Linked DNA regions of Drosophila melanogaster. The protein of the gene in region 2 interacts with the protein of the main gene of each other region in a pairwise test. Each region holds a gene or a part of one and is shown on either strand. Other genes may lie near its edges.

Region 1 (4,749 bases), on a different chromosome or scaffold from region 2:
GCGAGCGAGTGGGAGAAAGCAGCAGCAGCAGCAGCAGGTGAAGTAAATGGCAATAAAGGAGAAAAATTAATTTTATCCTTTCCATTTCCGTTGTTGCGCGCATCAGTGTGTGTGCGGTTTTCCTTCTCACTCTTTCCTTGGCCGTGTGGGTGGCAGTTTTTCCCGCACATTTTTTTTAGTTTTCTTCAGCTTTTGCATTATTTTAACGTGTGCTCTTTTTTCCCACCCTCACCTCGACTCTATTTTTTTTCCTTCGTTATAAATCTTGAGGTTGAGCACTCGACTGGACGCCATTTTTTATTTTTCACCTTCAGCCCCCACCCACCTGAACCCCACCCTTTACCATTCCCTCCCCATTCCCCCTTTTAGTCGGACGTCGCTTATTTTTCAATTCTGTCAGCTGCTTTGGTCAGAAAATGTCGCTTGGGAGCGGTCGACGGCATCCTTTTCTCCGATTGCAAAAGTTGAGATGGGATGTGTGGGGTATATATGCTTGTATGCTATCTGCAAAATAATTTATAGATGCCTCAACCAAAATGGACAGAGTAAAGGGTTCCGTTTCCTTATTTACTTTTTTATTGAGACTCCGTTTTTTTTTTCATTTTAGATACTGAAATTCAAGAAGGCACGTTGTATAGTGGATCTCAAGGGGGTTTTAGATAAAGAATCACTTTTACAAATCAATTCTGGACATTAGATACAATAGAGACTTCAGAAACAAGCAAGTGTTTCTTAAGAATTTACGGTAGAGAACTATAGCATTACATTCCTTTAATTTTGTCATGGGTATTCTCATATTTGTACTAATGTCTATGATGTCCATGATGTTCGTGGTGTCCATGGTGCTCATGATGTTCACGGTGATGATCGCCATGATGTTCCGGATATTCATGAGGATTTTCGTGAAAATGACCGGACTCAACTGGATTAGTTCCATGGAAATGGCCAGATCCCACAGGACTTCCGTAACCAGGCTGATATTGGTTTGGAGAACCTTGTCCAGCGAATCCTCCTTGACCCGGGTGGACTCCGCCTTGACCAATTCCCACCTGGCCACCAACTCCACCCTGTCCAGTGAATCCTATTTGTCCACCAAAACCTGCTTGCCCGCCGATTCCTCCGAATCCTCCAAATCCTCCTTGCCCTCCATATCCTCCTTGTCCAACTTGGCCGAATCCATTCTGAGCGTTCACAGCGGTCACCAGTGCAAACAGAGCAATCTATAGTTATAAATTTGTTATTATAAAAATATTTCTAAGTTAGTTAAGATTTCTATAGTAGAAGACGCACCAGTAGTTTCATCGTGGCTGAAGTTTCGGTACTGAGGCGGCTCTAATATTTTTTTGATTTTTATACCACGATTTGGTAATATCAAGTAGGTAGCTGAAAGGTATTCTACCTGGCTGAGGGACTTAAGTTTGAGTCTCTACCTGTAAAAGGAAATCACAGAAAAGTATTGCCGTCAACATCTGGTTACGATGGAAAATAAAATAAACCAGTTTATTGGAAGAGGGAAAATGGAAAAACAGAAAAATCCGGAATTGAATAGAATACTAATACTAATTCAGTACCATATTGAAATGACGGAAATATAAAGGAGTTTTTAAATTATTTGTTTATTTATATTTATTTATTTGATATTTGAAAAGTTTTTATCAACATAACATTACTCGATTTTTTTGATCAGGAAAATCCGGATAATATAAAATCATTAATAAGACATTACTCAGATACAAGATATAACATAGTGACTTTACCTTTTTTGAAACATTTTCTACTGTTGTCTAAATATCAATGATTTCGTATTTATTTTTTCCAGGTATTTCATCAGTAGGAACTTCGCCACCGGGAATTGGAGATTGGAAGCTGCCATGCTGATCGTCGTTTGAGGTTTCGTTGTGAGGTCTTTCGGTACCAGGAAATCCACTTTGAGGTGGACCGCCTCCTGGGCAACCGCAATGCGGACACCCTCCTGCTGGAGATCCAGATGGTGGGGGGTGGTGTGAAGAAGGAGGCGGAGGTGGCGGAGGAGGATATCCCTGCCAATGGTGGCCACCATACAGATATCCCCCTGGTGGTGGATAATGGGGCGGTGGTGGAGGTGGACCGTATCCCTCCCAAAAGTGACTTCCATGTCGATGGGGGCGATGAGGCGGTGGTGGAAAAGGCTGGTGCTGGTGTCCGTGTCCACAGCGTCCACCAGCACCATGTCTGCCACGATGGTGATGATGGTGACGAGGGGGAGGTGGACCTCCGTGTGGGTGATGTCCTCCTCCAGAAAATCGCCGACAGCCCATCTGATCGAGTCTCAGATGAATTTAGAGCAACGATCTGAAAAGATGTATGACTAATATTTTTGAGAACAAGATGCATTTGAATCTTTTTATATGCAAAAATTATTATATATGTTTATACGTCCGTTGTACATACATATGGTAAGCTGATAAGAATATTTTCTATGTATATATTCATTGACTTACATTTTTTCCTATTTCTATCTTAATGGAAACAATATACAGTAAATAAATGTTTGTTTTGCAACTGGTTTATTTTAGCGTACTTATTAATACGTCATTTATTTGTTGCTTTTAATAGCTAAAACAAGTTAGAATTCGATTTGTTGACGCAGTGGCCGAATTCATTGATATATATAAGTCTGGATATTTTTTTCTCTATCAATAAATATTTTAAAGAATAATTCCTAATACAAGTAAAGGCAAAAAGAAAAACCAGCGCACAATTAATTGCTTTGAATTTTGTTGTTTTGAACACAAGAATTGGATCAGCTGCTTAAATGTTATTTACAATTTAGAGTGGCATTGTATTTGGTTGCCAAAAAATAATATATAGGTTTATTTTTGGAAGAGTTGTTTGTTGATAACATATCGCCGCCAAAAATACTACAAGTTCAAATGCTTATGAGATTAAAAGTAAATTCGGAGGTGAAAAGCAACCATTTAAATAAGCAATATTGTTAAACTTTAAAACTGTGAAAATTATATTTGATTATCTAATTACATTTTCAATCTATCTCTTTATTTGTGGAGTCTAGTGATAACCAAAGAATTAAACAACTAAATCGTCTTAATTTCCGAGAAGCTGCTTAGCTATTATTATGCCTACGCTTGCCTTAAGTATTTATCCTTGAGTAAGGAAATCCTTCTGGGCGGAAAGAAAATCCAGCGGCATAAAGTTATGTGCCCAGGGCCAAAATTTTAATTCCAAATTTAATTTTCAGCCATTTTCCTCATTTTCCCCGGATGAATTTGTCAGGGCGTGTCGCATTCGGAAACCACTCGCCGGGGAATGAAGTGGAGACAAAGACATCTCGGGAAAAGGAAACATTTTTTGGCTTATGCCAAAATTACATCAAAAAGCGCTGCGGGTATGTAGGTATGTAGACAGACGTGGCAATTCCCATCTTAGGATTGAGTAAAGTGGCAAAAGGACGAGGGGCAGGCTGGAGCTGAAGGATTGCTGAGCCTTGGAAGTGGCAGGGAGTGAATGTCGTGAAGATATGCCAGGACCCTTGGAGAAAAGTTGAGCGGACCGAGGAACAGGGTTTGGTGATTGCTATCTTCATAATGACTTTGAAGTGTCAAACAATTTTGGGGAATTATCAACGCCCGCCTCGTCTTTCGCAAAGGTGAAAATGAAAATTGTACTTTTTGTTTGACTCAAACTTGATGGGGCCAAACTGAAGATATAATTATAATTTAATTGAAATGAAATTGTCGCTTAAGTCGAGTAGAAAAGGAATGGTATTGCGGCATTGGTAGACTCCAGGGGTAAAGCTCTCAACTTAATATTTTGCTGGCTAAAAATTTGGGCAGATGCGAAATACTCTTGGCTGAGCTGTAAAAGTGAGTCAATAAAATACACAACTATTTGCGCACCAATTTAATATGCCACATAGGCAAGTTAAAGGAGTTCGCCCAGCTCAAGTTTTCCGAGGGATGCGACAAAATACATTGGGTTGACAGAAGCCCATGAAGGGCCAAAAAGAAAAGCACACCGAGTTTCTGAACAGGTCCGAACAATGTCCGAGGAAAATCAATTTAATTTTTACTCATGTTCATGGCGTGACCCCTCGATAATCCATGGAAAAGGGGACGAGGTCGTCCTGCTGCTGAGCCGCCTGAGGTGGAAATTTCACTTAAGTCACTTTCAACTTTCGCAAGATGCCATCAAAGTTGGCTCCAAAGTTACTGGTCAGTTGATTTTTCCACCTCCTGGGGCGGCGGCCATTACCACCGATATTTACATTTTACCCAACCCACGGGGAAAACCTTTTCTCGAACACGATCTCCCCCAGCGCTCTCCAAACTTATGAAAAGTTTCGGTGAATTTGCGATAATGCTTTTTTTGGCTGGTGGTATATACATTTAACTTCAGCGCACGTGTGTCAGCTTTTCATCATATACTCTTCACAATTTTCAAACCGTGAAGTGCTTTTTCATGAGACCAGAAGAAATGAGTAAAGTTTTTTTTTAAAATAATTTTTTATATATTTTTTATCCCAAGAGCTTCAAGTTCTATTATAATGCCCAAAAATGTAACGTATGTTTAAGTTAGTTCATATACGAATATGCTCCTAAAGCATATATTTATGGTGTTGTCGTATGTACAACAATGTATGTGCATATGAAAAGGTTTTGTGAAAAACAATTCTGGTACCCACTGTGTGCCGCTAAGGGAAAACAAAATGGCATACTTGTACTGTATGGAAGATGATGATGAAATTGGAAA
Region 2 (4,768 bases):
TGATATAATTATCCAATTAAGATTAGTCAAACATTTGTTTTTGCGCCTCTGTTTACTTTCCCGATGCTCGCCGTTTATCTTCAGCCAAAACTCTCGCGTTGATCGAGTTTTATCTGCTCTTTCCGACCAACTACCTTTATGGCTGAAACGATACTGAGCGGGTTTGCCACACTGCGGATCTGGCCGCTCATATGCTTGCTGAACACACAAGTAGTTCCCCCGAAAAATTGGATAACACGCTCTCCCTCTCCAATTATTTTCGTTTTCGGCGCTCTCTGGGGGATCATTGTTGTGGTTTGTTTTCACCTCGCGAGCAGCCTTTTGTTTACTCAGGAGCGGATTCGTTGGGCCCCCATGCCAAATTTCAAGTTTGAGGACATAAATGACAATGTGCAGCATATGGTATAATTTATGCGGCCAGTCAAAGTAGGAAAACAATTAGTTTCCTAAAGAAATAAAGCTAAGCCAAACGAATATAAATAAAATGTAACTGAAAAACTAATATTCTGTTTTACCTTGGATAATCATTTATATTTTAATTCATTTTATAAAAAGGTTTACAATTGAATCAGTCTTTAAACGTGCATGAATGAAACCAATTATTCTTTTCCACAATACTTCTAGTACCTATAGATATTTAAAATTCAATTCATATTTTTGTGGGAACATATGGCACGTGGCAAGCCTACTAATTTTTGGTACTTAAGGAATTTCATCCAAAGTCTCTTTTAATTACTAACATCGTGTCTTGAATCTCTCATCTGGAAGTACTAAACAAATAATTTAATCACGCACTTACTAATTTGTTTGTTTCAGCGAATATAGCGTCATTTGTATTAAAGTCTCGACTGTAATATAATTACTTCCAAATTGGGCTTAAACCATACTGTGTTTAACAAAAAAAACTTCAACAGGAAACTGTGACGTGATTTGAAAAAAAATTGACAATAAATTGTGAACAAAATATTGTATAATTGAACACCTATAATTGCAGTGCGAAATTTTCTTAGGGCTTGATTTTTTTTTAATATCAACAAGATTTTACTCTTATATTGTCTGGACTGCAGTTCCTACAATTAGTTGAAAATAGTCTTTAAAACGTAAATAAAATTAAATACATTGTCGCCAAAGATGGAATGACGAAAACGACATTAACTTTCACAATCTAATACCAAGATATCCATCATGCTATATTTAAATTAACCTTGATCAATAATTATTCAAGGCACGGGAAAACAAATAGCTCGTCACGAAAGGTGTTATTTGTTTGCAGTTTGCTTTTGGATTGGATCCACCTGGTAGAAGAATTTAGTGTACTAAAGGAGAGCTTTACAAATATTGTAATTTGATACATTATGTTTTGGATTAGCATTTGATTTATTCTTCACAGTGAAGCGAATTGTTTGCTTTGTTACAATCATCTAATATTTTCGAATACAATGTTTGCCTTTTTTAAGCTTAGGTATAGGTAAATTTGATTATCAAGGTTAGTTCTTTATACTTAAAGTAATTATGTCTTGTAGTCTAGCCGAAAACTGGATTTTGCTGCTTCTTTTAATCTCCTGACTCCTAAAACTCCGAAGCTTCAAAATTCGGAGCGCGCGTTTTATTGATTCGCTTCGTTCTAATGTTGTGACAAGCAGTCTCAGACAATATTTACCAAATCTTACGAAATGAAAGACCCATACGTATACTTTCACCCAAGTTGACCTCTCTGGATGATAGTGTACGAAGATTATCAGCTCGGAAACTTTTGTAGCTTCGTTTGCTGCGTTTATTTTGTGTCAGTTGTTGTTGCCGCTCGGAAGTCTTTTATAAAGGCCAGTCGGGCTAGAAATTCTATTCAGTTCAAATATTAACGGCGTCGTGTGCAGTTGCCTGGCATTTGATATAAACTGTGAGTGTGAATTGGAAAATAGTGTTCTATCCCATCCATATTTATGCAAATATTTATAGTAGAGTGATTGCATTCGTAAATCGACGTTGCTTACAATTCCCGTTCATATAGTAGCAAAATAAACAATCCGTGTGCGGTGTGATATTTGAATGCAACGCATTTTGTTGGGTATAAATTGGCAGTGCTTGTTTGTTTGTCCGCCACTTGGTTTATTGAAAATTACTGATGGAGGCTTATTAAGGTAGTGATAGTGAATAAACATTTATAAAAATAGTACAGCGCCACGATAAGGCTAAATCTTTCACTTGTGCATGTGATATATTGATAAGAACAAATAGAAGATTATTGTTGAAGTAAAGAATAAACAAATAAACAAAACAACTGAATGGAGTGTTTGAAAAGATTTGTCATATTGCGAATCTTAAACATCGAAATATTAAGAGTCGACCTAACTAGTTTTAAAAATCTTTGAATTTTTTCATTTCTAATACAAAATGTGCTTTCATTTGTTTTGCTGGATTAATTACATAATTATATTTGAAGATAGCTTAGACATCACGACAACAAATATTTGTTTATAGCTCCTAAAGCTTAGATTACATTGCGCATTTGAAGAAAGCCACTGCCCAACGGTTAAGTAAGCTTTTCCTGTTCTAAGCCCAAGCTTTTAAGAGATAGCTTTGTTTTGGGGCCAGCACTTTGACTACGCTCCTTTAAAACGTCGGAAGGTCCACAGGTGTCACTGGAAAATGTTTGATTTGGGCGTGTTGGTTCGACAGGTGTCGTCCCATTTTGAATTTGTTATGAAATGTGACAGCAAATCGGGGGAGTGTCCATAAGTGGGCTCTACGCCTGATCGGAATATCAATTGTTTTGGGCAAATGACACACCTCAAAGCCCCCGTTGAACTACGCCTCTCTCATCTGGAAGTACTAAACAAATAATTTAATCACGCACTTACTAATTTGTTTGTTTCAGCGAATATAGCGTCATTTGTATTAAAGTCTCGACTGTAATATAATTACTTCCAAATTGGGCTTAAACCATACTGTGTTTAACAAAAAAAACTTCAACAGGAAACTGTGACGTGATTTGAAAAAAAATTGACAATAAATTGTGAACAAAATATTGTATAATTGAACACCTATAATTGCAGTGCGAAATTTTCTTAGGGCTTGATTTTTTTTTAATATCAACAAGATTTTACTCTTATATTGTCTGGACTGCAGTTCCTACAATTAGTTGAAAATAGTCTTTAAAACGTAAATAAAATTAAATACATTGTCGCCAAAGATGGAATGACGAAAACGACATTAACTTTCACAATCTAATACCAAGATATCCATCATGCTATATTTAAATTAACCTTGATCAATAATTATTCAAGGCACGGGAAAACAAATAGCTCGTCACGAAAGGTGTTATTTGTTTGCAGTTTGCTTTTGGATTGGATCCACCTGGTAGAAGAATTTAGTGTACTAAAGGAGAGCTTTACAAATATTGTAATTTGATACATTATGTTTTGGATTAGCATTTGATTTATTCTTCACAGTGAAGCGAATTGTTTGCTTTGTTACAATCATCTAATATTTTCGAATACAATGTTTGCCTTTTTTAAGCTTAGGTATAGGTAAATTTGATTATCAAGGTTAGTTCTTTATACTTAAAGTAATTATGTCTTGTAGTCTAGCCGAAAACTGGATTTTGCTGCTTCTTTTAATCTCCTGACTCCTAAAACTCCGAAGCTTCAAAATTCGGAGCGCGCGTTTTATTGATTCGCTTCGTTCTAATGTTGTGACAAGCAGTCTCAGACAATATTTACCAAATCTTACGAAATGAAAGACCCATACGTATACTTTCACCCAAGTTGACCTCTCTGGATGATAGTGTACGAAGATTATCAGCTCGGAAACTTTTGTAGCTTCGTTTGCTGCGTTTATTTTGTGTCAGTTGTTGTTGCCGCTCGGAAGTCTTTTATAAAGGCCAGTCGGGCTAGAAATTCTATTCAGTTCAAATATTAACGGCGTCGTGTGCAGTTGCCTGGCATTTGATATAAACTGTGAGTGTGAATTGGAAAATAGTGTTCTATCCCATCCATATTTATGCAAATATTTATAGTAGAGTGATTGCATTCGTAAATCGACGTTGCTTACAATTCCCGTTCATATAGTAGCAAAATAAACAATCCGTGTGCGGTGTGATATTTGAATGCAACGCATTTTGTTGGGTATAAATTGGCAGTGCTTGTTTGTTTGTCCGCCACTTGGTTTATTGAAAATTACTGATGGAGGCTTATTAAGGTAGTGATAGTGAATAAACATTTATAAAAATAGTACAGCGCCACGATAAGGCTAAATCTTTCACTTGTGCATGTGATATATTGATAAGAACAAATAGAAGATTATTGTTGAAGTAAAGAATAAACAAATAAACAAAACAACTGAATGGAGTGTTTGAAAAGATTTGTCATATTGCGAATCTTAAACATCGAAATATTAAGAGTCGACCTAACTAGTTTTAAAAATCTTTGAATTTTTTCATTTCTAATACAAAATGTGCTTTCATTTGTTTTGCTGGATTAATTACATAATTATATTTGAAGATAGCTTAGACATCACGACAACAAATATTTGTTTATAGCTCCTAAAGCTTAGATTACATTGCGCATTTGAAGAAAGCCACTGCCCAACGGTTAAGTAAGCTTTTCCTGTTCTAAGCCCAAGCTTTTAAGAGATAGCTTTGTTTTGGGGCCAGCACTTTGACTACGCTCCTTTAAAACGTCGGAAGGTCCACAGGTGTCACTGGAAAATGTTTGATTTGGGCGTGTTGGTTCGACAGGTGTCGTCCCATTTTGAATTTGTTATGAAATGT
Region 3 (3,353 bases), on a different chromosome or scaffold from region 2:
ATGCATTCCCTAGTAATATTGATAGGTATCAAACTGGAGAAGGTGAAGGGTGATATTTATATCTAAAACATATAAAGGATGGCGTCCTAATCATTCAATCCTTCAAAGGATTGAACTTCCAAATCGCGAGGTTCACGTGAACATTATTTCCGAATATACATATATATCTTGATATCACACGAAATTGCCTTCACGAATCTTTACTGAATGAGACTGGATTTATTCGCGGTCTTAAAAGCTTTGAAAACAATGTCCTCATGGAAATTAATCAATCGATGATGAAAATCAAAACAGAAAAAAAACAGAAATCAATTGTCCGGGATCTAAAGAAAATAGGAATGAAAAGCATATGATTTCGGAGTTCTCAAATCGGACGATCTGCAGATATCCACTATTGGATGCCGAGTCTTGCTTGCAAATTAGCTCCGCTTTCGAGGATTCATCTCCAGACTGAGCTTTCTATTGGATTCCCAGAAAATTTTAATTTTTTTTATAAAGATAGTTGACACACTAAGTTAAAATAAAAAAAAAAAAACATCGTATGTCATGCTTTTCAATATTTATATATTTTGAATGGAAAAGTGATGGATGTTTAAAATACCAAGTACTGTACAGTGATTTTGAACTTTTTAAATATTGTTCAGTGGAACAGCACCAATGGGATCAACGGAAATTTAAATTCGAAGAATGATTTTATTTGCTATGTATTTTCCAAGAACTTAGGACTAATTTCTTGTCATAGTATCTAAAGATATCATTTTAGGCCTTAGAACTTTTGAGCATCTTAAGCAATTGGAGCAGTTGAGTTGGAGATCTGAGCAAAAACCATCTTTTAATTAGTTTCTAAGCAGAATTACATATTAGTGCTGTACTAACCGGCTGGCAGTTTGAGAAGCTACAATTTGATGTTGTCTGCTTTCCAAATTAATCTGGGCTAGCTCAGGAATCTTAGTTACGCCCTCGGTGGAACCAGAGTCTGTGTCGGTCTCAGGATCCCTCTCGTACATCTGAGTTGAATCTGGATCCGGTGTAGATTGGCGCAACAACATTTCACCTGGCGTGGAATTAGTGTTATGTCGGCAATTCGATTCTATTACAGTAGTACTCACTCAAGTAGGACTCTGCCATGGAGTAGAGCAAGCTGGAGCTCATTTGAGGCGCCATTCCGATGACGACCCCATCCACTTTGAACTGATAGTTCTCCCCACCCTTTTGCCGTTGGTCGTATAGAATGTCCTCGCGCTGAAAACCATTCTCGGAATAGTCGTCGTATAAGACGTCCAGCAAGTCGCTGATCACGTTCCTCGAATTCCCTGGCCTAGTCTTGCCGCCAACGGGCTGGGCCAGAATTCTTCCAAGTGCCACAAGCAGCAGGGCGAACACAAACAGCCGGTTGGTGAACTTGCACATGATGTTGCCCAAGCGAAAAGACCGCAGGACCGATGTGCTCCAATGGCGTGCGTTGAATGATTCCAAGTTCTCGGCCGCTGTGAAGGCGAGCCCACCTGGACCACAACTGGAGACTGGAAGACCAAGAAAACCCGATTTATGGACACAGTTCAATGGCCGCCTCCAATCAGCCCAAAGACTTCCGCATTGCCAGGTTGCTGTGGGAATCTTTAGCTCCGCGCATTTCTAATGCTTCCCAGCAGCCACGTTCGAAGTCCGTTCCATTCGAGAGGAACTATCTGCCTTGTGTTCGATCTTCTCCGGCTCCTCATCTAACCCATTGTCGTTCGCAGATATCGCATTGAGTTTCAAGAAGAAACTTCTTTTTTTATTATTGTGATGAGTTATTTTCACTCATCTTGCGCCAATTTAAATTTGTTTAGTAACCCAATCTCTGTAAGCATGATTCCAAAAAAAGTTAACCCAATAACCTCAATTTGCCGCAAAAAGAAGTCCAAAATCTTTATGGCAGTGCTAATTGCCCCGCCTGCAATAGACACAGCTAGATCTCTTTCAGTTATCTAGTCTGGGTGCAGTTCTGGGCGCGGGTTCAATGACTTGGCCACAGGAAGGGGCTGGCAGCCACCTGCAAACTGGTTTCGCACATAAATCTCGCGTACATCGCAAACTATGGAGCACCTGGCCTTTGGCTCTGGACAGTAATTGCCGTTTTATGGCCCCAGGAAGGCTATCCAGACTCCAGCCTCATCCTTCAGCGCATCATTAAAGCCGAACTCGAACCGTTAGATCCAGTGCCCACTTCCGCCGTTGGAGCATCTACATAGAAGGTGATTTGCAATCTGAAGCTAACTATTAACAAAAAGTTATTAGCCATGTAATGGTGCTTAATGTTAGTCGCAAATAAATCATCTCCCATATTTGCTCCTACTAACGAGCAGTTTAATCTCAATGTCGATTATGTTTTCGTATTTATTAATAAGACAATTTCGTCGGCTTAATTCTAGAGTGTGCAATGTATGAAACTAACATTTAAGCTGGCAGTCTGGCGTTCTCACTCCTCCGCTTAATAGCCCTCGATCTGGCGACATTCGCCGTAGCTATCACGACGTTCTCCGCGAGCGCAGCGCGCCAGTCCGTCCCGGAGGAGGGTTCGGGACTCGGCCAGGTCGTCGTCGGCCAACAGATCGAAGCTAACGATCTCCGGTTCCACCGCTTGTGCCCGAGTGGGTTCCTCGTCCAGTTGCCAGGAGCGCGATTGGTCCGAGAAGTAGGTGGGTGCGTCGATGGGGGGGTAAAGGCCATTGGCTCCTCTGCCAAGATCGCTGCGGTAAATGGGGGCACTAATGGAGCGCGGACTGGCATAATCGCCGCCGGTCAGGCGATTGGTATCCAGATAGCTATCGCCTCTCAAGGAGCGGGAGCTGCGGAAGTACTGCGATCCGGGATGATTGAAGCTCTCGAGGAGATTAGAACCGGCACTGCTGCTGGCGGAGACGGGGGGCAGAGCTTGAATCAACTCCGGTTCCGCCTCCAAGTGGAAGGGCTTAATTAGCTGCGGCATGGGTATCAGTTGCGGAGGCAGCACGTCCACCTGCTGGCGCTGCAGGCGTTGAGCCTGCTCCGGATCGCTGGCTGAGATGTCCACGTGATAGGGCGACCGACCCTCAATGAACTCCGGCAGATGCGCCGCTGGCGAGGATTGGCGCTGATTCTGTTGCTGCTGCAACTTCTGCAGCTGACTTTTCTGGTAGAAGGACTTCAGTGAGTTGCTCCTCGCGGGATGTTTGCGCTTGAGCGATCCACTGCCCTTGGTGTTTCCGCGACCCAGTAGCTCCAGCAGGCTGATGCCCTCCTGCGGTCCAGGTGGAATCAGGAGGATCATGAAGTTCTCCAGATCAGCACGAATGTTGTACTGCCCCTCCTGGCGCTGATCATACGTGATT

Evidence for each region. Proteins that work in one complex are often made in the same cells at the same time.
Region 1: the proteins of glob1 (region 2) and sala interact in a two-hybrid assay, tested with the Drosophila melanogaster proteins (one large-scale study listed by BioGRID).
Region 3: the proteins of glob1 (region 2) and CG13081 interact in a two-hybrid assay, tested with the Drosophila melanogaster proteins (one large-scale study listed by BioGRID).

The regions. Positions count from the first base shown.
Region 1 is NT_033779.5:11,482,763-11,487,511, reverse strand, and holds sala (spalt-adjacent), read right to left. Parts: upstream 2,806-4,749; 5' UTR 2,481-2,805; intron 2,332-2,480; 5' UTR 2,298-2,331; coding exon of another isoform or gene 1,785-2,297; 5' UTR 1,758-1,784; exon of another isoform or gene 1,729-1,757; intron 1,431-1,728; 5' UTR 1,303-1,430; coding exon 1,291-1,302; intron 1,221-1,290; coding exon 804-1,220; 3' UTR 563-803; downstream 1-562. Other genes in the region: CG43355 (uncharacterized protein), read right to left, coding at 1,785-2,297. UniProt on the Drosophila melanogaster protein: Likely to be involved in the establishment of the head.
Region 2 is NT_033777.3:15,901,631-15,906,398, reverse strand, and holds the start of glob1 (globin 1), read left to right. Parts: upstream 1-1,755; 5' UTR 1,756-1,897; intron 1,898-3,814; exon of another isoform or gene 3,815-3,956; intron 3,957-4,015; exon of another isoform or gene 4,016-4,197; intron 4,198-4,768.
Region 3 is NT_033779.5:19,538,750-19,542,102, reverse strand, and holds CG13081 (uncharacterized protein), read right to left. Parts: upstream 1,497-3,353; 5' UTR 1,411-1,496; coding exon 1,110-1,410; intron 1,055-1,109; coding exon 877-1,054; intron 815-876; coding exon 760-814; 3' UTR 563-759; downstream 1-562. Other genes in the region: CG13082 (uncharacterized protein), read right to left, coding at 2,474-3,353.